5 linked regions of the Macaca fascicularis genome follow. The protein of the gene in region 5 interacts with the protein of the main gene of each other region in a biochemical or structural test. Links are inferred from orthologs where the notes say so. Each region holds a gene or a part of one and is shown on either strand. Other genes may lie near its edges.

Region 1 (3,213 bases), on a different chromosome or scaffold from region 5:
TTTTCAGATACCTCGCTTATTACATTAAGAAAGGTTTATATCTTTCATAAAGGGTTTACTTACAAAAACCTTCCAATTTTATATACCTGTGTTTCATAACTGACTAGCCGTCAAACCAAGATGTATAGTTTCCAAATGTTATTTTCCAAATTTTAAGAAATTACGTGAAATATTTGAATGCGTGGCTTCTCAATAAAATAGACGTAGGAAACACTGGTAAAGAAGATGGGTACAATAGTTATCTGGGACTACTACAATTATTTGGTTGACACGTTGTTTGAAGAAAAAGGGAAAAAGCTCAGGTTACTTAGCACAGTTCGGACTTATTTAAAAACTACAACAGCACGAACGGAAATAGACCGCATTCCCTCACTCTCCGCTGTGTTAAGGGGTTATCCAGAATAGGATTGTAGAAGTGGATGTCGATTTAATAGTTTTTTTGTTCTCCCGTTAGCTGAGTCTCTGATTGGCAATGTGAGATCGTTTTAGCTTATTGATAATTTGAAATGCTCTTAACAGCCACAAACAAGCTAAAGAGAGGTTACCATAAAATCTTATCCCCAGGGTGTGCTTACACTTACCGTTTGTTTTCACACTAAGGAGACTTAACTCCCCAGCAGAATGCCTGTCGGGGAACCAGTTTCTTGGACCCAGCATTTAACGCCTTTCGCAGGTTTGTGAGGCCCATAAATCTTTGTTGAATAAAACAATGAGTTCACCATGTCATGGTGCGCTCATTGCATGTGCTGACATGGAACACAGGTTGTAAACCTTAACACCCATTTGGGGCATGTTGTATGGATGAAAAGGGCATTGGAAATTCCTGAAGTGCATCCCACATTGGACTGTGGAAGTAAGTTGCAAGTGCAGAAACGTTTCCACACTTGCAGTTTGAGTATTAATTGCAGCGTTAGTGAATTCTGGTGTTGTCTACGATTCATTCTTCTTTGACGTGAAAGGTATTCGCGAGACACATCGCTCTAAAACATTGCCAGAAAATGTAATCGAGTTGATGACTACTAGCCCTAACACGGCCTAAAACCCGCACTTTCCTCTTCCTCCCCAACTATTCAAACACTGTATTTTACATTTCTTGCAAATTAAAAACTAACATATCTGGCAACGGACCTCTAAAACTTTCTAATAAAACTCCCTGGATGCTTGTGGGGCTGCATTTGCAAACCGCTCCCCATCAACCTACTCCCTAAAACAGAGCTGCTTTTTGAGAGACAAGCGGCACCCTCTGATGTTACTAGGTGGCAGTCGGCCTACAATTTCCTTCACAATGAGGCAATCGGAGCGGCTTTTTCGGTGTGTTTGCTTGCGTTGAGGGGAGCGGGACCATAGGCCCTAGAGGCCCCCAGGTGCTCTCTGAGACTGGGGGAAACCCTCTGCAGAGCGCAGGGGGCGCTAGGGTGCGAGGGGCGGGCACTGACGGGCACCAATCACTGCGCAGTCCCACCCTATAAATAGGCTGAGTCGGGGCCTTTTTTTTCTCGCATCCTGCTTGGTCAGGTTTATACCAGTTTACTTGGTGTGCTGTATTAGTCACCATGTCCGAAACGGCGCCTCCCGCTCCCGCCGCTTCTGCTGCTCCTGAGAAACCTTCAGCTAGCAGGAAGGCAAAGAAACCTGCTAAGGTTGCGGTGGCCACTAAGAAAAAGCCTGCTGGCCCTTCCGTGTCAGAGCTGATCGTGCAGGCTGCTTCCTCCTCTAAGGAGCGTGGTGGTGTGTCATTGGCTGCTCTTAAAAAGGCGCTGGCGGCCGCAGGCTACGATGTGGAGAAGAACAACAGCCGCATTAAGCTGGGTATTAAGAGCCTGGTAAGCAAGGGAACGTTGGTGCAGACGAAGGGCACCGGCGCCTCGGGTTCCTTCAAACTCAACAAGAAGGCATCCTCCGTGGAAACCAAGCCCGGCGCTTCAAGGGTGGCTGCAAAAACCAAGGCAACGGGTGCGTCTAAAAAGCCCAAAAAGGCCACGGGGGTTAGCAAAAAGAACGTCAAGACTCCAAAAAATGCTAAAAAGTCTGCGGCAACAAGGAAATCCTCTAAGAGTCCCAAAAAACCCAAAGCTGTAAAACCCAAGAAAGTAGCTAAAAGCCCTGCTAAAACTAAGGCTATAAAACCCAAGGCGGCCAAGGCTAAGGTGACGAAGCCAAAGACTGCCAAACCCAAGAAAGCGGCACCCAAGAAAAAGTAAATTCGGTTGGAAACTTCTACTAACCCAACGGCTCTTTTAAGAGCCACCTACACACTTCGGGAAAAGAGCTGTAGTACACAGATGAAATTCCCCCAAGCAAATGCAATACGCCCTCATTTATATTAGAATCACTTGGAGAGTCAATAGGAACTTTAACATAGGTTGAGTAGTAAATTCTTGCCAGATGAGGCTATCAAAGATAGCAAGGTGAATTCAAATGCACCGAGTTAAAGTCGAATTTTAGATCACCTGTTTTGCTTTTTTTTTTTTTTTTAAGTAGCCCGAAGTCCCGCATCTCACGACCCCAAGCTAATTAGTCATAACTGTAACGAACCAAGGTTGAAGCCTAGTCCCAGGCTTGAGGCTTTTTTATTATACAAGGTTAAAGTGCGGACATTGCGTTCTTGGGTCAATATTGCTAAAGTAGCCTTTTCCGAAATTGGGTGGTCCTAAGAAATGCTTCTGGGATAGTAAGCAAAATTCATGGCTTAATCACGCCCTCTCGGCAGCAGTGGCTAGAGAGGTGTCTGTCCTTGGGAATGACGGTGACCCTTCTGGCGTGACTGGCGCCCACGTTGGCGTCCTCTGAAAGCCCCACCAGGTAGGCCTAGCTCGCTCGCTTTCTGCAGCGCCATCATGACAAAGCTTTGAAACGCAAAATGCTCTTGCTTTGCGCAGCGCTTTACCATGGGTGCACTTACAGGCTGTCGACTTGGTTTAGGCCCTCATCAGGACAAAGGAGCTTAGTTGCAATGGAGTTTTAGAGCTGCAACTCTAAAGCCCTTGCTCGGTTTCTCTGTTTTTAGAAACAGTAGCGACCTGATTGGATAATATTTGAAAATTACTATGCTTAACTGGATCGTGTTTCATCAATCGTGCAGGATTTTCAACCCTGGTGGAGCCCACACATTCAATACTGAAGATCCTTTTCTCAGAACTGCCCCTTTAAGCTTTTGCAATTTTAATTCTGGGGTTCAATTTTAATAACTGAACTTTTTTTTACATCTGACAA
Region 2 (4,519 bases), on a different chromosome or scaffold from region 5:
GAATTTAAAATCATCAATTATAACAGGTTCCTTCGTGCAAACGTTGTATTACCCTATGCCCCCTTTACCTTTTTCTTCCTTCACAGCTCTCATCACAATTTGACATTTCACATCTAAGCAACCAATTTGCCTCTTTTGCTCATGAGATACACGTCCATACAGGTGCCAGATAGTTACCCAAAGAATAAACTGAGAACACAAGTAATTACAGGTTTGATTAAACTTGAAGATCTGAATACACTGATCATTAATATTTTGATATTGATGAGGTTTCATTCTAATCCTTCGTTTCAAATTTACAACCAAGAAGTAAACAAATAAAATACTGTATTTTGACATCTTCAGACCTTTTAAGTCCAACAGATACTGCTTCTGTAGCCCCTTCTACAAAAAGACCCTTAGTTTTTAACATATTTTCAGCAACTTAGAATCAACTCAGTTACCAGGAGCCAACAGGAGCAAGCTGAATAAAAAGAGATGGCACTTTGGATTACACTCGTCATGGTACAGGTATTCTTTTCAAAAATCTCATTAAAGGCCAAGTGCAGTAATTTACCATATTCGGTATTAGCTTTATAATTCTGCAAATCAATGGGCCTAATATGAAAATAGGTACTTTCTAGCAGATAAAATTTAGAAAAATATTCAAATCGGTGTACTGAAAACTTTTAAATTTCTATTTATTAACATAATGTTGACTTGGAAGGAGAATCTATGAAAGTCAGGTTTTATGATAGAAGATGTCCAAGTCCACCTACTAGGGTTTAGTTCCACATATTCTCCAAAGGATAGTATTCTTAGAACTAAACTATAGATTTAGGCCATTTATTTAAACTTGGGCAATTCGAACAAGCTTGAAACACAAGAGTGCCTTGAAAATAACTGTAAATGTCATTTATTTCCCTTTGATTTTTAAATGGTAACCCATACGTAAAAGGTTTTTCCCTTATTCAATCACAGGTCATGTGTATTACTTCCAAAGTAAATATTAATTTAAGTGAGTTAATTCCATTAACTCCAAAGTGAGTATTAATTTAAGCTGACCAAAAAAAGAGGACCCAGATACCCGTTTCCAAAGATGTTTTGAATCCACCTATTTTCAAAAGGCCAAATTTCATTTTACAGCTCTTCTGAAACCAGGGAAGCAGTGTGAATTTTTAATTGCAGCAGTGAGATACCTTAAAATGTTAGCAGTGATATTTTTAAAATGTAGTTGTTTCAGAACTGATCAGTGACCGTCTAAAATAGGGGCTCCTTGAGGACATCCTGTGCCTGGTTCATCCTTTTTGTACTCTCAAAGTCTAGCCTTCTAAGATAGGACCTCAGTCCCAGCCTCCCTACACTGCCATCCCTGAGATCTTTAGGGGAGTGGGGTTCATTGACAAGGTTGCAGGCTACAAACTTGGCTAAGCCATCCCCGAGATCTTTAGGGGAGTGGGGTTCATTGACAAGGTTGCAGGCTACAAACTTGGCTAAGTTTATACTAACACCTCATTCCATCCTACCTCCTATCTTAAAAAGGAAACAGTTTAAGTATCTTATTCTAGTGATTTCAATAAACGAACTAATTTATAAGAAAGCCAAGAACAATTAAAGTCACAAAGGGCCAAACTTTTTATTTTCATCTAAGAACCGTTTGCAGGGGTGGTCCGATCTTTTGGCTTCCCTGTGCCACATTAGAACTGTCTTGGGCCACACGTAAAATACATTAACTAGTTGATGAGCTTTTTCAAAATAATAATAATAAAGCTTATGAATTCGTGTTGGGCCACATTTAAAGCCGTCCTGGGCCGCGGGTTGGACAAGCTTGGTTTAGGGGTTTAGATCGATTAGGGTCAATACTCCCCAAATAAAAAATCCTGATCAAGACACCCATCTAACTGTACCTGGGAAACACAACAACAACCTTTTGCTAATAACAGTTAACATAAGCGCTATATACGCGTTAACTTTTTAAAATACTAGCAGTGGAGGCCCTTCCTCATCAGCTAACATCCACAATCTCCGGTACCAATAAAAAGATTAAGACCAAAGAGAAGCAGGGAAGAGTTTGAAACCCAGGGACAGGGCTTACTAGCTTACTCTCCCTTTTCACGTTCCACCGTCTCTACAACTTTCAAAGTAAGGATAGCCCGAGGGCAAGGGTCTCCAACCAGGCCCAGCTGGTGGCCACGAAGCCCATTACCACGTGTGGAGGGAAGCCGCCGGGGGGTTTCCCCTCCCCGCGCGGCCGCCCCCAATGGGCGGAGAGCCCGGGAGCGTCGCAGTCTCCCCCGCCCCCTCCCCGCCTCGGGGCCTCGTCCCTCCACAGCCCCTCCCTCCCGTCGGAATTCGCAGCCTCCGCCGTTCTTTCATCTCCCAGCGGCCTCCCTCCTGGTATTATTTTTGAGGGAAAAGCAGGGGGGTGTCGAAAAGGCGGCCGGCTCTGCACTTGGCCCGGCCCGTACGCCGGGGGCCTCCCGGTCCCCGCGGCGCAGTCGACTCTCAGAGCACCCGGGCGTCACCGCGGCCTCGCTCCGGTACACGCGGAGAAGACGGTGGAGCTCAGAGAACCTCACGCCGCCAGGCCGCGCCAACCCCTAAGTCGCCTCAGCCGTCCCAGATAAAAGCGCTGGTCGGCCCTAGGGCCCCTCTCAGACTCCGGGGTCCAGACTCCGCGGTCCTGTCCGACCTCACAGGACGACCCCGGAGGCCCTGGGCGGCCAGCGGCCCCGACTCCCCGCTCCCAGTCCCTCTATCCCTCCGGCCCTCCCATCTGCGCAGGCCGCCCAGCGAAAACTACGTTCCCCCTTCCCTTCCAGGCCCCCATCCGTTACCGGCGGCTAGTATGGGGAGCCAGGCGGCCGGAGCTGCGCAGGCAGTGACTCAGGGCGGCAGCGGCGGCGGGAGGAGCAGGAGGCGGCGCCGCGAGCAGATGGCGCTAAAAAAGACCCAAGAGCCCGCCGCTCGCGCTCATATACAATTAGCGTCAGCACGTAGGGCCCTCTCGCCGCCCTCCCCCCGGCCTTGTAGTCTCCCAGCAACGCGAGCGAGAGGCGGGTCCAGGCCGGGTTGCCTAGCAACTGAACCGTCCTTCTTCCCCGGCGACCTCCATACCGCAGCCGAGGACTCCTGCAGACCCAGGACTCCTGCAGCCCCGAGGCCCAGCGCCGCGCTTGGGCTCCTCTGGTACCCGCCGGTGTCTAACCTTCTCTGTTAAGCACCCCACCATCTCTTTTCTCCCCGCTGAGCCGGAAAGGAAATCTCAACCCCATCAGTTGTGGGGAAGGCCTGGCCCGCGTGCCCGGCGCCCGGCCCGCTCCGCCCCCTTCGGCGTTGTGCTGGGAATGCTGAGGGCGGGCGCTAGTCGCCTGGTCCCTCTCTCGCCGCAGCCTAGACGGCGGGCGCTCCCTGTCAGGGCCTAATTCCTGCAACTCGCCGGCCCCCGGTAACTATTTTCCCTCCCCGCCTAAGAAAAACAGTTTTTTCCTCTAGACCACTTCGGCGGCCTCTTCTGCCTGTTTTGCTTCGAACTATGCCAGCGGGTCTCCGTGCCTTTAGGGGGTGCTCGTCATCCTTAGCTCCCCATCCCCCCGCCACATACTTGTACCTGATGTACAGTCCCTTCAGTTCTTTTGACGGATGAAAATGGCATATTTGTGCATTCTCTGGATGCGTTGTAATGAGGACATTCAGTATGTCTGTTGTTTCATCTTTCTGAAAAAGTAAATCGCATTAAATCCTCAGGCTTGTAAAACCTCATAACTAATTTTCAAGTGATGATGAATTGACTAACAATAACTCAAAAAGTTGTTCTCAGAATATGGTCTGAGGGTCCCCAGACCCTTTCAAGAGGAAGGTCAAAACTATTTCCATATTAATGTCAAGACTGTCTTTTGCATTCTCATTCTCTCACAAGTGTACAGTGGGGTTTTCCGGAGGCTATGTGACATGTGATAAGGAAACAGACTGAAAATAGAAGCAGATAGGAGAATCCAGTCATCTGCGGTTAAACCAGACGTTAAAGAGATTTGCAAAAACTCGATTTGGGGGCAAGAGGGAGTAGTTATTTTTCTTTCTTCTTTTCTTTTTTTTTTTTTTTTTTTTTTTTTTGAGAGGGAGTCTCGCTCTGTCGCCCAGGCTGGAGTGCAGTAGCACGATCACGGCTCGCTGCAAGCTCCGCCTCCTGGGTTCAAGCCATTCTCCTGCCTCAGCCTCCCAAGTAGCTGGGACTACAGGCACCCGCCACCACGCCTGGCTAATTTTTCGTATTTTTAGTAGAAACAGGGTTTCACCGTGTTAGCCACGATGGTCTCGATCTCCTGACCTCGTGATCCGCCCGGCTCAGCCTCCCAAAGTGCTGAGATTACAGGTGTGAGCCACCTCACCGGGCCTATTTTTCATATAAAAAATTATTTTTGTTAATATTTGATTGCTTTATTGTTTTTAAATGAAATACTCTTAAAATTTCTCACTTTTAATTTCTGACATAAGTATCAGTATCAATAATGCACATAAAAGTTCTTTGGGGTCCTCAACT
Region 3 (4,552 bases), on a different chromosome or scaffold from region 5:
ATTATTTTGTATAAATTAGATATAATTCTACTTTTCTGATATGTATAAAAATTGATGAAGCTGCATGGTTTTAAAATAGGAAATTCACATTATAAAAAGTCATTAAAAATTCTGTACAAAATCACAACAAAATAATTCAGCATGGGAAAGGTAACAAGTAGTAAAATGCTGGTTGAAAAATATATATTTATATATATTTTAATTGGCCCATTACTAGTTTAAAAATTGCATAGTTCCTAATTATTGCTTGTGATTTTGTTATCCCGATCAGATAATTAATACGATCTGAATACAGCTACACCAAATTCGTGGTGCATTTCTTTAACTTTACTGTATTTTTTTTTTAAATAGAAGAGCTATAGAAAATAATACATAAGGTGAACAGGAACTTTGATCCCCTGTTTCTTCCAAAGGCAGTAATGACAATAAATACATATATCACTTGAAGCTTGGAGTATTTGCACTTTGCAGCAGTAGTACCCAAAGGGCTGCCTTTTGTAAACACGACAGTCACTGTAAGCACAGTGGGTTCGTTTCCCGGAAATGGTGAAACTGGCGTGCCTCTAATCATGAAAGATGGCATTGAGCTGGGCACTCATGACTCGCTCATGATGTGAATGGCTATCGAAGGACATAATATTGTCTATGGGGATCTCGCAGCGAGGGGCAGCGGTGCCCGAGAAGATTGATCCGTGGCTTTGGGCCCCTGCCAGGGTCGCTGCAGGATAGTGCATGGTAAAGGCATAATTTTTCTCAAACTCGGCGGACGGTTCGTGTTTGAAAGAGAAGTTGCCATTGATGCTGAGCGGCGGGCTGAGGGGTCCATCAAAGGAAGGGCTGGTGCAATCAGTCAGAGGGCTTTCAAAGAAGGGCTCCAGCGCTGCGCTGTAGGCGTGCGGCGGCGGCTTGACGTGGAAGACATGGGAGCTGTCCATGGTGCCGTAAGGCGGACTGGGCAGCCCAGGCGACTGGTATGAGTAGGGGTGTACAGGGAAGGAAGCGCTGGCCGTCGGCAGGTGCGGGGGCATGTCCTGGTTCTGTTCAGGCAGAAAAGTCCGAGGATTGAGTTGCAGGCAGCCTGCAACCAGGTTGGTGGTGGGTTGGGATAAGCCCTTGCAAAGGGTCTGAACGAAGGAGACCAGGTCTGGGCTTTTGCCTGAGCGCAGGATCTCCGACAGAGCCCAGATGTAGTTCTTGGCCAAGCGCAGAGTCTCGATTTTGGACAGCTTCTGCGTCTTAGAATAGCAGGGCACCACCTTGCGCAGGTTGTCTAGGGCCGCGTTCAGTCCGTGCATGCGGTTGCGCTCCCGGGCGTTAGCCTTCATGCGTCTCAATTTAAAACGCTCCAGGCGAGCCTTGGTCATCTTCTTCTTTTTGGGGCCGCGTCTCTTGGGCTTTTGATCGTCATCCTCCTCTTCCTCTTCTTCCTCCTCTTCCAGGTCCTCGTCTTCGTCCTCCTCCTCTCCCCCATTCCTCAGTGAGTCCTCCTCTGCGTTCATGGCTTCGAGGTCGTCCTCCTTCTTGTCTGCCTCGTGCTCCTCGTCCTGAGAACTGAGACACTCGTCTGTCCAGCTTGGAGGACCTTGGGGCTGAGGTTCGCCCATCAGCCCACTCTCGCTGTACGATTTGGTCATGTTTAGATTTCCTACATTCAACAGGGTAGAGGCAAACAGAAAGAAAAGGAGAAAAACGCTATATTCAAAAGCCAGATACGCCTTCAGCTTCCACTCCCTCAATCTGTACAAATGCTTGAGAAAAGTACCTGCCCATTACAAAATGAATGCCTCCGAGAAAAAGTTAAATGCAGTGTTTTATAATGGCGCGTGCGTGTGCCCCGCTGGTACGTAGGAGTGAGGACAGGACTGGGGGAAGGCAGTGAATATGTATATGTGTACACCACTCACGCATATGTGTTTGTATCCTAGTGATTAACTTAAATGTGTTTATGGTGGTTGCCCGACAAGATAATGTGTGTGGAAATGACTGTACATTTCAGTGACTTCATGTTTATCCAAATGTGTTCAAAGTCACTCACAACTACACACACACACACACACACAGACACACACACACAAATGAGCTGAAAAATCACACATTCTGCTTCCATTTTTGTCCTGGCTTCTAGGTACTTAGCGATTTAAGTTGAAGAGCCATTGCGCAATTTACTAATACTGGCAGCGATTTTTAAGAAGATTACACAGACGGGATACTGAAGAGCAAATGCAGAAAGGAGGAAAAATAGTTTCCGCCAAATTGTTCCACCATCAATGTAACATTTGGCAACAAAAGTGGACAGGGTCTTCCACCCCTCCCTCGCCTTTCTTTTCTTGCCTTCCATCTCTGGCCCGACGCTGAATTTCCACCTTGTACAAAAGCGCTAGCTGCAGGGCGAGGGCTGGGGGCGCGGCGCAGAGCGCTCTCCCACGCGCCGGGGATCAGGTGCGGAAGGCTCCTCTCTAATAAACAGCCCATTGAAAGGGCCGCCCGCTCTTTATTGAGGCTTTTCAAAGTTCGCCTCAAACCTCCCTTTAAAAAATTGAGTAATTATAATGGTCAGCGATTGGCAACCGCGAAGTTGCTGCTTCTAATAAGGAAAATAAAAAGCCGTTAGTAAAACAACTGCATTTCTGGCTCCAGTAGTGGCTGCTGGGGACTTGGCCGCCTCTGGAGCGGTAACAGGTAGCAGGAGTGAGTCCCTCTCCCTTTCTTCACTTTCCCCCCTCTCAACTAAACTATCTCTGAACCTGATTTATTTTCCATGGTGTGAATACTCAAGGTATCCATGTCGCTTTCATTCACTGAAAACACAGCTTGACACTCCTAATATGCGTAAAATACATGCACACAAAATATATATTGATAACACAGCTTTTTTTTTTCTTATTGTAAGAAGTGAGAAAATGAAGTCATTATTGCTTTTGGGACTTTAAAATCAGCACTAGCAGATAATCATAATTACTGTGTATTCTTTTAAAAAATCCAAGCTCCTATGCTATCCACAAAAGAAACCCAAATTCTTAAAATTTAAATTAGAAAGCCTGCAGGGGGTACTTGAGTGACACGACTCATTATGTGTGAGTACTTATGGGCAATTATGGAGAGGGATGCTGGTCTCAACACACATACACACGCTCGCAAACGCACACATACAGAATATGTAGGTGCATCAGTCTTCAGTTATTGCTTCTATTCTAGGGCAAAAAAATGAAAGAATTGTAATTACCTTTGTTGTTAGTAGGTCCTGAGCAGTGAAAGTCTCATAACCCTGGGGCCTCCGGACGCCGTGCCTCCTGCGTGGGCGAATTCCTCGTGTCCTGGCCGCGCGGGCGCTCAGGTTATATAGCCCAGTTAGTGATGCTAAGCGCGGGCGGGGCTGCTAGCTGAGGAGCTAGCAGGTCTCTGCGCCTGCCGCCTGCGCACGCGTCCAGGCTGTGCGCTCCCGGTTCTCCCCTCCTCCCCACTTCTCCCCACGCCTTGCTTGTCTCCCGCCCTCCTCTGACAACCGCTCCCCTCACCCTCCACCCCTACTCCCGCCCCTTCTCCTTCCTCCCCGGCATGCGCCATATGGTCTTCCCGGTCCAGCCAAGAGCCTGGAACCACGTGACCTGCCCATTTGTATGCCGCGGAGCGCTCCATTCCGGCCCCTTTGTGGCCAGAAGAAAGTGGCCCATCTGTCGCCAGTTAGAGACTCCGCGGACCTGTTTTTACCCGCAGGAGAGATTAACCCTTTCAGGCGGCAGAAGGGACAGGGGATAGAGGGGGGAGGGGATTTGAGGGAAGGAAGGGAAAAGCTAATGTTGAGTTGGTCTACATCAGAGAGAGTGGCCTGCTTTCACGCCGGAAGTAGGGCAGAGGTGAAAGAGGCAGAAGGGGGAGACTGAGGCACGCAGTGAAGAGTCCTCGCTCCTTTCGATTTCTTGTCCTGGCACTGGCATCCAGAGCAGCATGACTCCCTGCCCTGTCTGAAAGGCCCATCCCTTGGCTTCTTCTCCTTGGCAGACGCTTTGATCATTGGCGCCAACGGATGGCTTCTCCTAATCTCCTTCGGCCCCTCTAAGCAAACATATACGCCATATAAAAGCGGCTTCTTCTGTAAACGCAGCGTTGAGATTAGTTCCCCATCCTCTCTAACCGGATCGTCCTCTCCCAGTTCCTTAAGTACAGAAAATTTGTACTTGCCATTCTATCCCTACCATACGTTCAATCCTTCGTGTCCTGACTCTCAGCTACCACTGTCCCTCCAGACCCTCTCACTACGTCAGTCCCTACCTCCATCCCCAGGATCTTGTCCTCAAAGCGAGCTAGTTCTCTCGAGGAGGCCTTGGCTCCATTGGCCTTTGCGCTTTCTTATGTGGGAGCTGGGGGCTTCTTTGACGGTTGGATTCTGCCTTTTAGCCATGGCCACTGGGTTGCTGCAAAAGGCACCTCCTCTCAGCCAGTTCAGGGACGCTTCCAGTTACCTGGCCAGCCCGCCCTGCATGGCCTCGGCTCTCTAGTCCAGGCATTGACCATGAGTACGGTGGTGGACACCTCGCCACAGCCGGACCTGCGC
Region 4 (4,486 bases), on a different chromosome or scaffold from region 5:
CAGAGGGGACAAGTGCTTTCTCTTTCCTACATTATCCTTTGAGATCTACCCTGGACCATGCACCTCTACTCCCGATCCCCACTTAAGTTGCCCATCCTGCCACCAGGCTTTTGCTTTTGGCGATACCCTTCACCAATCCACTCCCACCCTCTATTTCAAGGCTCAGTTCAAGGTCTGCAGGATCCCTCTGTGACATTCCCAAGTATCCAGGCCCATCACGCCTTTCTTCCCACATCTACTGCACTTAAGAGTTAGCATTTTCCATTCTGGGCATAACTGTCCCCTAAGTATTCAATTAACTGGCTAAACAGACAGCCCCTTTACAGCCGGGACAGGTTACCCTGTAGCCTCAACAGCACTTAGGGACCCATGGGAAATAATATATGCAAAAAGCTGAAAATAAGGAAGCAACAGGAATGAACAGAGGTACTGTCTGACTAGACTTGAAACGCATTCATTCTACCAGGCACCTCCAGTATAAATCAGTTATAATTTTATTTCCAGCCAATTACTATTCAAATCTAATTAACAACCAAAATGGTAAAACATACTTACTGTCATGAAATACTGTCAGAACCGTGTTGTCAGTGGTGCTGAAGAATACCTGTCTAAAAAGGTGTCTAATCTTTGTGATTTCAACCTAAAAGATAAACATCTATTAGGACCTAACATCTATCAGTAGTAAAAAATATATCAAATGTATCACTTACAGGCTTTTTTTCTCATAAAATTAAAGAGGGCATGTACAATTTTGACTACGATTCATAATCCATGGAGTGCATGGTATAAAATAGTATAAAAAGGCATCATCCAATAAATGTTTGTTGACTTGAAAGATTTATTTTGGAGAACTTACAAACAAGTTAATTCCATGGGGAAAGGAGAAAATGGATTTTCCAACATAACCCTGAATTTAGCCATATTCATCATAAACATTCATTACAATACACCAAATAGGGACCAAATTATATAATATGCAAGACGCCAAAAATTACACATCTAAATCACTTAAAACATTAACACCCACGACGCAAATACACCCCTTATCAACTTAATTTTTTGGTGGCGGTTTTCTTACATGTTTCAGAGTAACATTTAGGCATTCTATCGCTTAAAAGGAGGAAAAAATTATCTGAGAATATAATGCTTTCCAATTAAGAATCTCAGATTATACTGTAATGAAGATACATTCTGCACTGGGAGTATATCAAAAAAGCAACACAATCAAGACCCTTATTTATAATTTTGAAGCACCACCATTTTTGACTAAAATTGCATCGAAATAGCACTTCAGTCTCACTGTAAGGCATAAATAGCTGAACAAATTAGTATCAATTGCAGTGTTACAAGTTTCATTTCTCATTTGTTCCCTTCTCTTTTTCAAAGGAAACAATTAAATGGGTGAGGGGTAGGATGCCAAAACAAAAACACATCCTTTCAGTGTTAATTTTAAAGGGAGAAGACATACTGATACGCATCCAAGCATGAAATCTAGCAAACAGCAGAAAAAATTGTAGCCACTGAATTGAATGTTTTTAATGCCACTAAAAGGGTCCAGGTAGCAAAGACTGCTTGACATTTGCTATAATATTAAAAGTAACATAATTTATTTTCAAATATTAATAGTATCCTCTAACCCCAAAACTGCTCAGAAAAGTCCTTCCTTGTAACGAGAAATGTTATTTTTTTAAAGGGTGTCTTTGAAAAAATAAGCCCTCAGAACACTTAAAATATGGGAGCTATATTTATGTATTTTGCTTGGAATGGGGGAGGGGGGTATGGACAGGGGAGTCACACCACACTCCCTCACCCAAAGAGTTGATTCAGTATATATTTAGATTCAGTACATTAAAGAAAAACACGGCCACCTCATATGGTATATATTTTCTTAAGGGCAGGTTGATATATGTAAAAGCTCAAGGGAATGCATACATCTGTTTAATGTTTGAAGAAATGCAAATTTGTATCCAAGAAAAGCAGTAGTCCCTTCCTCCACCCTCCATTCTTTGGCATCAACAACCAGAGTTTTGCATCAATATACAGTAATCCTTAAATTAAGATACAAGAGCAGCGCAGGGAAGGAATAATTTGCCTTTTAAGGAATTTTGGTTAAACTTTCAATACTTTACAAATAAAACCCCCACTGATTAGTGCCACTGATATTGATCCGTTTGCTTTCATCACTTTATGTTGCTGATTAGTTTCCATACTAAGAGAGATGAAACCACCCCAGTGATTTGTGGCACGAACCACGGAACTATGGGGTCCATGCGGGTTAGTGGGATGCCATTTTTTTTTAAAGGTCGCAGGCTACCTAACCTTAAATTATCCTGTTAGAGTGCTTTGAGCGAGATTATGATTTGTGGGTGCTCTGTAATTCTTTGTTCTCTAAGACTACCGTTCCTTAAGGCCCTGCATATCCTCCCGCCTCCCACCACTAATGATTAAAACCTTAGTCCAATCCGAAGGGCTTCCTTCCCACCTTCGGGGCAAGTCCTGGGACCGCAAGCCGCCAGATGGCTGCATTCTTTACGCGCAAACCAGACTGCGGGGAAGCCAAAGCCATGCCTTCCTCCCCACGCAGGTGCCTGGGTGGCCCCAGCCTCACGGCCCGGTCCGGGCGACCTGTCAGCCCTGCGAGTGCCGGGAGGCCGCCCCCAGAGCGCATCCCCTGACTCGCCCGGCCGCCCCGGCCCCCGCGCCCAACGCCTGCCTCCCGCCCGCCGCGCGGCCCTCGGGATGTGCGGGGAGACAAAGCGCCGGGCCCCACCACAGCCCCGCGGGCGGGAGGGGGGCGCCCCCGGGGGCCCGCGCCGCGGCCGGGGCTACGGGGCCAGGGCCCGCGCCGCGTCTCCCGCCCCTCCGCCGGCTCCCCGCACAAAATGGAGCCGGCCCGGGAAGCCGTCGAGAGCGGGGCCCCGACGCAGCCCCGCGGCCCCTCCTCGGCCTCGGGCCCGGAGCTCAACGGCGGCGAGCGGGAGGCGGCCTGGCCCGCGTCCCGCCGCTCCTCAGCCCGGCGCACAAAGAGCCGCGCCGCGGCCCCGCGCCCGCTCCCCGGCCCGGCCCGCTGCGGGAGCGGCCTCGCAGGCGCGGGCCCCGGCCCCGGCCCGCGCGGGAGGGCGGGAGGCGAGTGCCCCCGGCCGCTGCGGCGTTGGCGGCGGGGACGGCGCCGGGAGGAGACGGACATTTCATTCGAGCTAAAGTGGAGTCGGTTTAGGAGCGATCATTGGCCGAAGCGAGACACAAACCTCCAATGCAGCCCTGGTTGGCTCCCGTCTCCAATCGGCTGTTTGGTTGGACAGAAAATGGCTGCGAAGGAACCAGTCCCAGCGCGGAGCTCCGCTTCCAGGACTCGGCCTCCCCTCCCTCCGCCGCGGGCCGCTTCCCTCGGCGCGACACCCTCCCTCCGCGCCGCCCGCGCGCCCGCCCGCCGCGGCTCCGCCCCGCCCCGCCCCCGGCCCCGCCCCGCGCTCCTATGAGGCCGCCGCGCAGCTCCGGATCCCGCTCCTTTTGGCGCGAGGTCTTCTAGGGCCCGGCCCGGGCGCGCAGTTCGGGTCTAGGCGGGCCTTCTTCCCTGTGCTGACCCGGGCCTGTGCCAAGCGGGATCTCTCGGGCCTCCCTCTCCTTGTCACCCCTTCCCCCGCCACGTGAAGGTGTCTCAGCCGCCCGAGCTCAGCCTGCCTGCGCCTGGATTTTTAAGAAGGGGAAACCAGGGACAGAAGCCGCCCCCTAGGACGACGCGCCCGGGCCACGGGGAGAGTCTGAACGGCGGGGACCTCTTGGAGCGCCTTCAGCGCCTCGTGTTTTCTTTCCTTGGGTCCCTGTTACCGTCGCTGCAGGCACAGCGCTCCCTGTTATTTGGTCCCTGAGCTTGGGTGTTTTTCACATCTCATCTAAAGATGCAGACCCCTGCTAAGTCTAGCCAGCCTTCACCCTGAATCTTGAACTTAAGATGCTGCATTTTCCACCCACCCCCGCCCCTCTAGTAGCTGCAAATTGTCAAGCGGCTTTTCCCAACCAGATGACATTTTGGCTGCAAGAATCCGTGGCCCGTTCTTGCCTCTGTGCAGCCAAGCTCCTTCGCTTTCTCTGACTGCAGTCCCGGGTCCAGCTTCGCTCAGCAGTGACCATCCCAGAGGTGGGTAATCCAACACCACTCACTGCAACTGGATCTGGGGATGGCGTGCCCTCTGCTTCCACTAACCGAGTGGCCTGCGCCACATGAAACTCTCTAGCTTTGATTATGTAAAAATACAGAGAGATCTTTTATTTATAGAGTTCCCACTGTTTCTCAGAGTATTTAAACATTTCTGGGGCAAGTATGGAAGAAAGGACAAATGAAAGCCCCAAATTGTGAAAAGAGGAGTAAGTAGCAATGCCACTGTCATCAGACAACCTGACTTGAATTCCAGCTCCCCTTCTTACTGGCTTGTGATCTTGCCCAAATGTCTGCTTCTCAGGGTCATTTGGGATAATGTATACATAG
Region 5 (5,001 bases):
ATTTCACATTACTCATAGTCTGAGATACCATTTTAAAATGGGGTCTGATGTTTTGAAAGTTTAATACCACTGAAACGGAACCCTAGTAACCTTTCTAAGCCAACATTTCTTGCCCAACTTAAAGAGCTCTTTCACACCTGAGAGGTTTAAAACCCAATTGAAAGTTTAGGCCGGGCGCGGTGGCTCACGCCTGTAATCCCAGCACTTTGGGAGGCCGAGGCGGGCGGATCACAAGGTCAGGAGATCGAGACCATGGTGAAACCCCGTCTCTACTAAAAATAGAAAAAATTAGCCAGGCACAGCGGCGGGCGCCTGTAGTCCCAGCTAATCGGGAGGCTGAGGCCGGAGAATGGCGTGAACCCGGGAGTCGGAGCTTGCAGTGAGCAGAGATTGTGCCACTGCACTCTAGCCTGGGCGACAGAGCGAGACTCCGTCTCAAAAAAAAAAAAAAAAAAAAAGTTTAAATGCACTTTTGGATTAAATATTATAGAAGTTTCAAAGGAAACTCAATGCCCTTACATCTGTGCTTTCATTGCTGGTGTTTTCTTCTCGTTTTCTCTCTTCTTCCTCCTGTTCCAGTTCCTTAATGCTTTCTTCCAGAACATTGGGCCAGAAATCACCCTCGAAGTAAGGCAATTCCTTTGCACTTGTTAATCTATCTTCAGTAGCTTGTTTAAAAATATCCTGTGAAAACAAGCATGTACAAATAGGAATTCCTATGTTCTTTTAAAGCATTGATTATAAAGAATCATGGCTGACAAGAAACATGAAAGCTTAAAATGTCTTGAAAGCTGGCAGAGACTATATACCTAAGCCATAAACCAGGGAGCTATTTAGAAAAACAGTGAAAAGGCCTGGCCTAAAGTCAGTATTTCTGGTTTTCTATTTCTTCTACCCACAAAAGCAGGGAGCTTATCTGCCTTTATATAATCAAGTGGCAATTATTCTGCGAGGATCGATGTCAGGGTGGTAGCACCATCATGCAAGCCATGGCCCTTACCACAGAGTATGTGGTGTGAGGCATGCCCTCCTCACACCCATCTTTGGAATTTCAGCAGCTTTTATTGATAGCTTTGTTCAAAATGCCCAAAACTACAAATACTGGAAACAGTATCTGCTGCAGAATGATTCGCTGGGCAGCTTAGGAAAACTTCTTTATTTAGTTGAACTACTAAATTGAGGAAGACAAGTCTGTATCATGAGACAGCCTATATTCATGAATGTTTAAAATAGTATTAAGAAAGAATATATTTTTGGCCAGGTGCAGTAGCTCACACCTGTAATCCCAGCACTTTGGGAGGCTGAGGCACGTAGATCACCAGAGGTTGGGAGTTCGAGACCAGCCTGACCAACATGGAGAAAACCCATCTCCACTAAAAATACAAAAAATTAGCCCAGTGTAGTGGTGCATGCCTGTAATTCCAGCTACTCGGGAGGCTGAGGTAGGACAATCGCTTGAACCTGGGAAATAAGAGATTGCAGTGAGCCTAGATTGTACCGTTGCACTCCAGCCTGAGCAACAAGAGTGAAACTGTCCAAAAACAAAAAACAAACAAAAAAAAACCATATTTTTGGCTGGGTGAGGTGGCTCATGCCTGTAATCCCAGCACTTTGGGAGGCTGAGATGGGTGGATCACTTGAGCTCAGGAGTTTGAGACCAGCCTGGGCAACATAGTGAAATCCTGTCTCTACAAAAAATATACAAAAATTAGCCAGGTATGGTGGTGTGCACCTGTAGTCCCAGCAACTCAGGAAGCTGAGGTGGGAGGATGGCTTGAGCCTGGGAGGCACAGGTTGCAGTGAGCAGATATCATGCCACTGTACCCTAGCCTGGGTGACAGAGAGTGACCCTGTCTGAAAACAAAACATCCCCACCCCTAAAACCCTAACCAACCCAAACCAAACAAACAAAAAGATGTATTTTAAGGCCAGGCACAGTGGCTCATGCCTGTAATCCCAGCACTTTGGACTGCTTGAGGCCAAAAGTTCAAGTCCAGCCTGGGCAGCATGGCGATACCCCAACTGTACCCCCCTAAAAAAAAAAATAAAATAAAATTTTGATTACATGTTTTTTAAAACAGGGATCTCTTGATCTTCTTGATCTACCACTCTTCAAAACCTGGTTTTTCTTACATTAGAAAATTTTGAATATACAAAATAAAAGCAATCAAATTAGCATTTTTAGGAATTACATGCAAGAGGTAGAACAAATAAGACTTTTGTTTAAAAAAAAAAAAAAGTTAAATGACAGAATACAGAGCAGCAACATTAGTGTATTTCCAGATCTACTGTCAGCACCTGGCCCCCATGTCCCAACTGACCTTGTAGTCATGGACAATACGCTCTGATACAGCCTTGTCAAGCATTTTTTTGTACCATTCCTGCAGTCGCTTGGGCTTGGGTATCTTCTGGTCAGGAGGATGGCAATGGAAGATATAATCATCTCCCTCACTTGGTGGACATGCCCAAATATGCCCTGTTGTGTAACTAGCAATACAAAGAGAACATTAAGGAAAAAAGATCATCTATTCTAGAAGGCTACACTTTAAAACCACAAGGTGGAGTTGATATAGATACCAATAATTTTTCCCAAGATAACACAGTGTATAACCCAGCATGAGATTAACATTGTGAGACCAAAATTAGGCATAACTCACAGTAATTTAAACAATGGATCTCATACTGCCTCTACTTATTTTTGGAGGCCATGGCGGGATGTTGTGAATCTCAGCCAGAAAGCAGATGACTTAGCCCTGGATCCAAAAACCCTAAGTTTGCATGTTAAGACCAAATGAAGATTACGTTGTGAAGGAAAATTGACCCGTTTAACAAGAGAGCTAAATTAAAAGGCACACTATTCAGAGAAACAGTCTTCAAGATGAGGGAATGAATGTTTCCAATGACATACATACTCTAAAGGTAAGAAGTATTTCCAGAGCTGTTTCTGGTCTTGATACCCAGGTTATAAAAGGATCAAATGCAGTTAAAATTCTGCCCTCAAATGAGAGGCACAAATCAAACTTCAAAGCAAACGACCCAATAGCTCAGCTGAACAAAACAAAACTGATGTTGGATAGGTGATAGAGTCAACATATCCATTTCTCTCTTACTGACAACATTAACTTCGAAGGGGCTCTAACAAAGTTGAGAGACTTGTTAGGTAAGAACTAAAATGAAGAAAAAAAGGCAAAGAGTTACATATTTGCAAATTTAACCTGTATCTCACCAGAATGTCCTAATAAAAAAAAAATTTATCAAAATATGCTTACCCTAATTTCTTGACATATTCTAAATATCCAATCAGGATTTCATGATAGACTGCAGTCCTCAAGCATTTAGGACGGAAGAAATGAACACTATCGAGGTAAGATATGTATACTCTCCTATACAAAATGAAGAGAAAAAAAGAAAAGTCAAATCTACTGAGTTATTTATTCCATGTGCCTAATAACTCTCTCTCACTCTCCCAGGCTCTTTGCTCACATCGTTATTTATGAAACTCATCACAGGCAGGTGGGCGACTCCACTGTGAACCCTTCAGGAAAGTTCAGCGAGCCTGTGGTTTCCTTCTATTTGAAGTAACTAGCAGTGCCTGGCACATACACATCCATCAGTATTTGGTGATTCCTATACATTATCCAGATTTAAGCTCATTTTCTGAAGAGTAGTACGTTTGTTTCCAAATTCCCATTTCAGGTTGCTATTCATATCCTTTATTATTATGGCCACAGAAGAGCAGAATCAAGCAGTTATTTTGTTTGGGGGTTTGCTTTTTAATCTGTTTCACTTTACAATTATTGTATACTTGAGATTTTGCATTTCCAAACCAAGCACACTCAACATTTTCTTGCCTGTTATACTCTTCCGCCTATTATAATTTGGAACTCCCACACAAATCCGGAGCTAGCCACTGTGAGCCAGTCATACCTCTGGTTGGGTGGAGGGCAGTCAGAGCCATACTCTTGAACATGCATGCCAAAGAAGCACAGGTCAACGCCATCAATTTCTTCAAAGGCAAAGAGGGCTTTGGTTCGGTATGGAAAGGATTCTGCCATCTCTCCACTGTCCACAAACCTATACAATTGAGATAGTGGGAGGACCACAACATAAATTCATTCAGATTGCAATCACCAATGGTAACCACGTATGAGCAATTTTGGATCCACAAGAGAAGAAAAGTGAAATGACTAGATACCTTGCTTTCATGCCTGGTTTTACTTCCACGGTTTTGTCAGAAGCATGAACTACTCTAACAGTGACCTCTCCTGACTCAGGGTGATTCTGTCGCCTCAGAAAGTCATTCACACGATTCTCTAGAAAGGTGCCAAGTCTGGTAGATGGCAACCCTAGGAATGTAGAAGTTAAAAGTTACTGAGGTGCAGATTTACTATTGTTAGTCTTAAGGTTCAACCTTAAATCTCATTTGTACTTTTTTCAATACAAACAGGGTAACTTGGTGAAATTTTAAAAAATCACAGCATATTTAAGTATTCACTACTTTGCAGATTTGCATGTCATATTAGTGCAGGGAACATGCTAATCTTCTCTGTATCATTCTAATTTTAATATATGTGCTGTTAAAGCAGACACAGTACTCAATAATTTCTAAATGTCATTTTCCCCAACTTTTCATTTTGAAAAATTTCCAATTTTGGAAGAGTTTATAAAAATACAGAACAGGGGCTGGTTGCAGTGGCTCACACCTGTAATCCCAGCACTTTGGGAGGCTGAGGCGGGCAGATCACCTGAGGTCAGAAGTTCGAGACCAGCCTGGCCAGCATGCTGAAACCCTGTCTCTACTAAAAATACAAGAACTAGCCGGGCATGGTGGCACACGCCTGTAATCCCAGCTACTCAGGAGGCTGAGGCAGGAGAATCGCTGGAACCCGGGAGGCGGAGGTTGCGGTGAGCCGAGATTGTGCCACTATGGGTGTCAGAACGAGACTCTGTCTCAAAAAAGAAAAAAAAACCCAAAAAACAAAAACAAACAGAACAATGGCC

What was found. The genes of interacting proteins can lie anywhere in the genome.
Region 1: of the proteins of EP300 (region 5) and H1-1, one has a biochemical effect on the other in vitro, tested with the Homo sapiens proteins (2 studies listed by BioGRID). The link is inferred for Macaca fascicularis from reciprocal best matches to the Homo sapiens genes EP300 and H1-1.
Region 2: the proteins of EP300 (region 5) and NAP1L1 form a complex in vitro, tested with the Homo sapiens proteins (3 studies listed by BioGRID and IntAct). The link is inferred for Macaca fascicularis from reciprocal best matches to the Homo sapiens genes EP300 and NAP1L1.
Region 3: the proteins of EP300 (region 5) and NEUROD1 form a complex in vitro, tested with the Homo sapiens proteins (3 studies listed by BioGRID). The link is inferred for Macaca fascicularis from reciprocal best matches to the Homo sapiens genes EP300 and NEUROD1.
Region 4: the proteins of EP300 (region 5) and NFYB form a complex in vitro, tested with the Homo sapiens proteins (2 studies listed by BioGRID, with this or other methods). The link is inferred for Macaca fascicularis from reciprocal best matches to the Homo sapiens genes EP300 and NFYB.

What each region holds. Positions count from the first base shown.
Region 1 is NC_088378.1:146,911,944-146,915,156, forward strand, and holds H1-1 (histone H1.1), read left to right. Parts: upstream 1-1,495; 5' UTR 1,496-1,553; coding exon 1,554-2,201; 3' UTR 2,202-2,202; downstream 2,203-3,213. UniProt on the Homo sapiens protein: Histone H1 protein binds to linker DNA between nucleosomes forming the macromolecular structure known as the chromatin fiber. Histones H1 are necessary for the condensation of nucleosome chains into higher-order structured fibers.
Region 2 is NC_088385.1:82,918,683-82,923,201, forward strand, and holds the start of NAP1L1 (nucleosome assembly protein 1-like 1), read right to left. Parts: upstream 3,312-4,519; 5' UTR 3,255-3,311; coding exon of another isoform or gene 3,212-3,254; coding exon 3,097-3,211; intron 2,930-3,096; exon of another isoform or gene 2,817-2,929; intron 1-2,816. UniProt on the Homo sapiens protein: Histone chaperone that plays a role in the nuclear import of H2A-H2B and nucleosome assembly.
Region 3 is NC_088386.1:77,224,163-77,228,714, forward strand, and holds the start of NEUROD1 (neurogenic differentiation factor 1), read right to left. Parts: upstream 3,312-4,552; 5' UTR 3,224-3,311; intron 1,646-3,223; 5' UTR 1,635-1,645; coding exon 564-1,634; 3' UTR 1-563. UniProt on the Homo sapiens protein: Acts as a transcriptional activator: mediates transcriptional activation by binding to E box-containing promoter consensus core sequences 5'-CANNTG-3'.
Region 4 is NC_088385.1:111,066,101-111,070,586, forward strand, and holds the start of NFYB (nuclear transcription factor Y subunit beta), read right to left. Parts: upstream 3,312-4,486; 5' UTR 3,249-3,311; exon of another isoform or gene 2,452-3,248; intron 641-2,451; 5' UTR 562-640; coding exon of another isoform or gene 556-561; intron 1-555. UniProt on the Homo sapiens protein: Component of the sequence-specific heterotrimeric transcription factor (NF-Y) which specifically recognizes a 5'-CCAAT-3' box motif found in the promoters of its target genes.
Region 5 is NC_088384.1:10,445,187-10,450,187, forward strand, and holds part of EP300 (histone acetyltransferase p300), read right to left. Parts: intron 4,587-5,001; exon of another isoform or gene 4,484-4,586; intron 4,347-4,483; coding exon 4,196-4,346; intron 4,075-4,195; coding exon 3,928-4,074; intron 3,384-3,927; coding exon 3,270-3,383; intron 2,488-3,269; coding exon 2,322-2,487; intron 685-2,321; coding exon 520-684; intron 1-519. UniProt on the Homo sapiens protein: Functions as a histone acetyltransferase and regulates transcription via chromatin remodeling. Acetylates all four core histones in nucleosomes. Histone acetylation gives an epigenetic tag for transcriptional activation.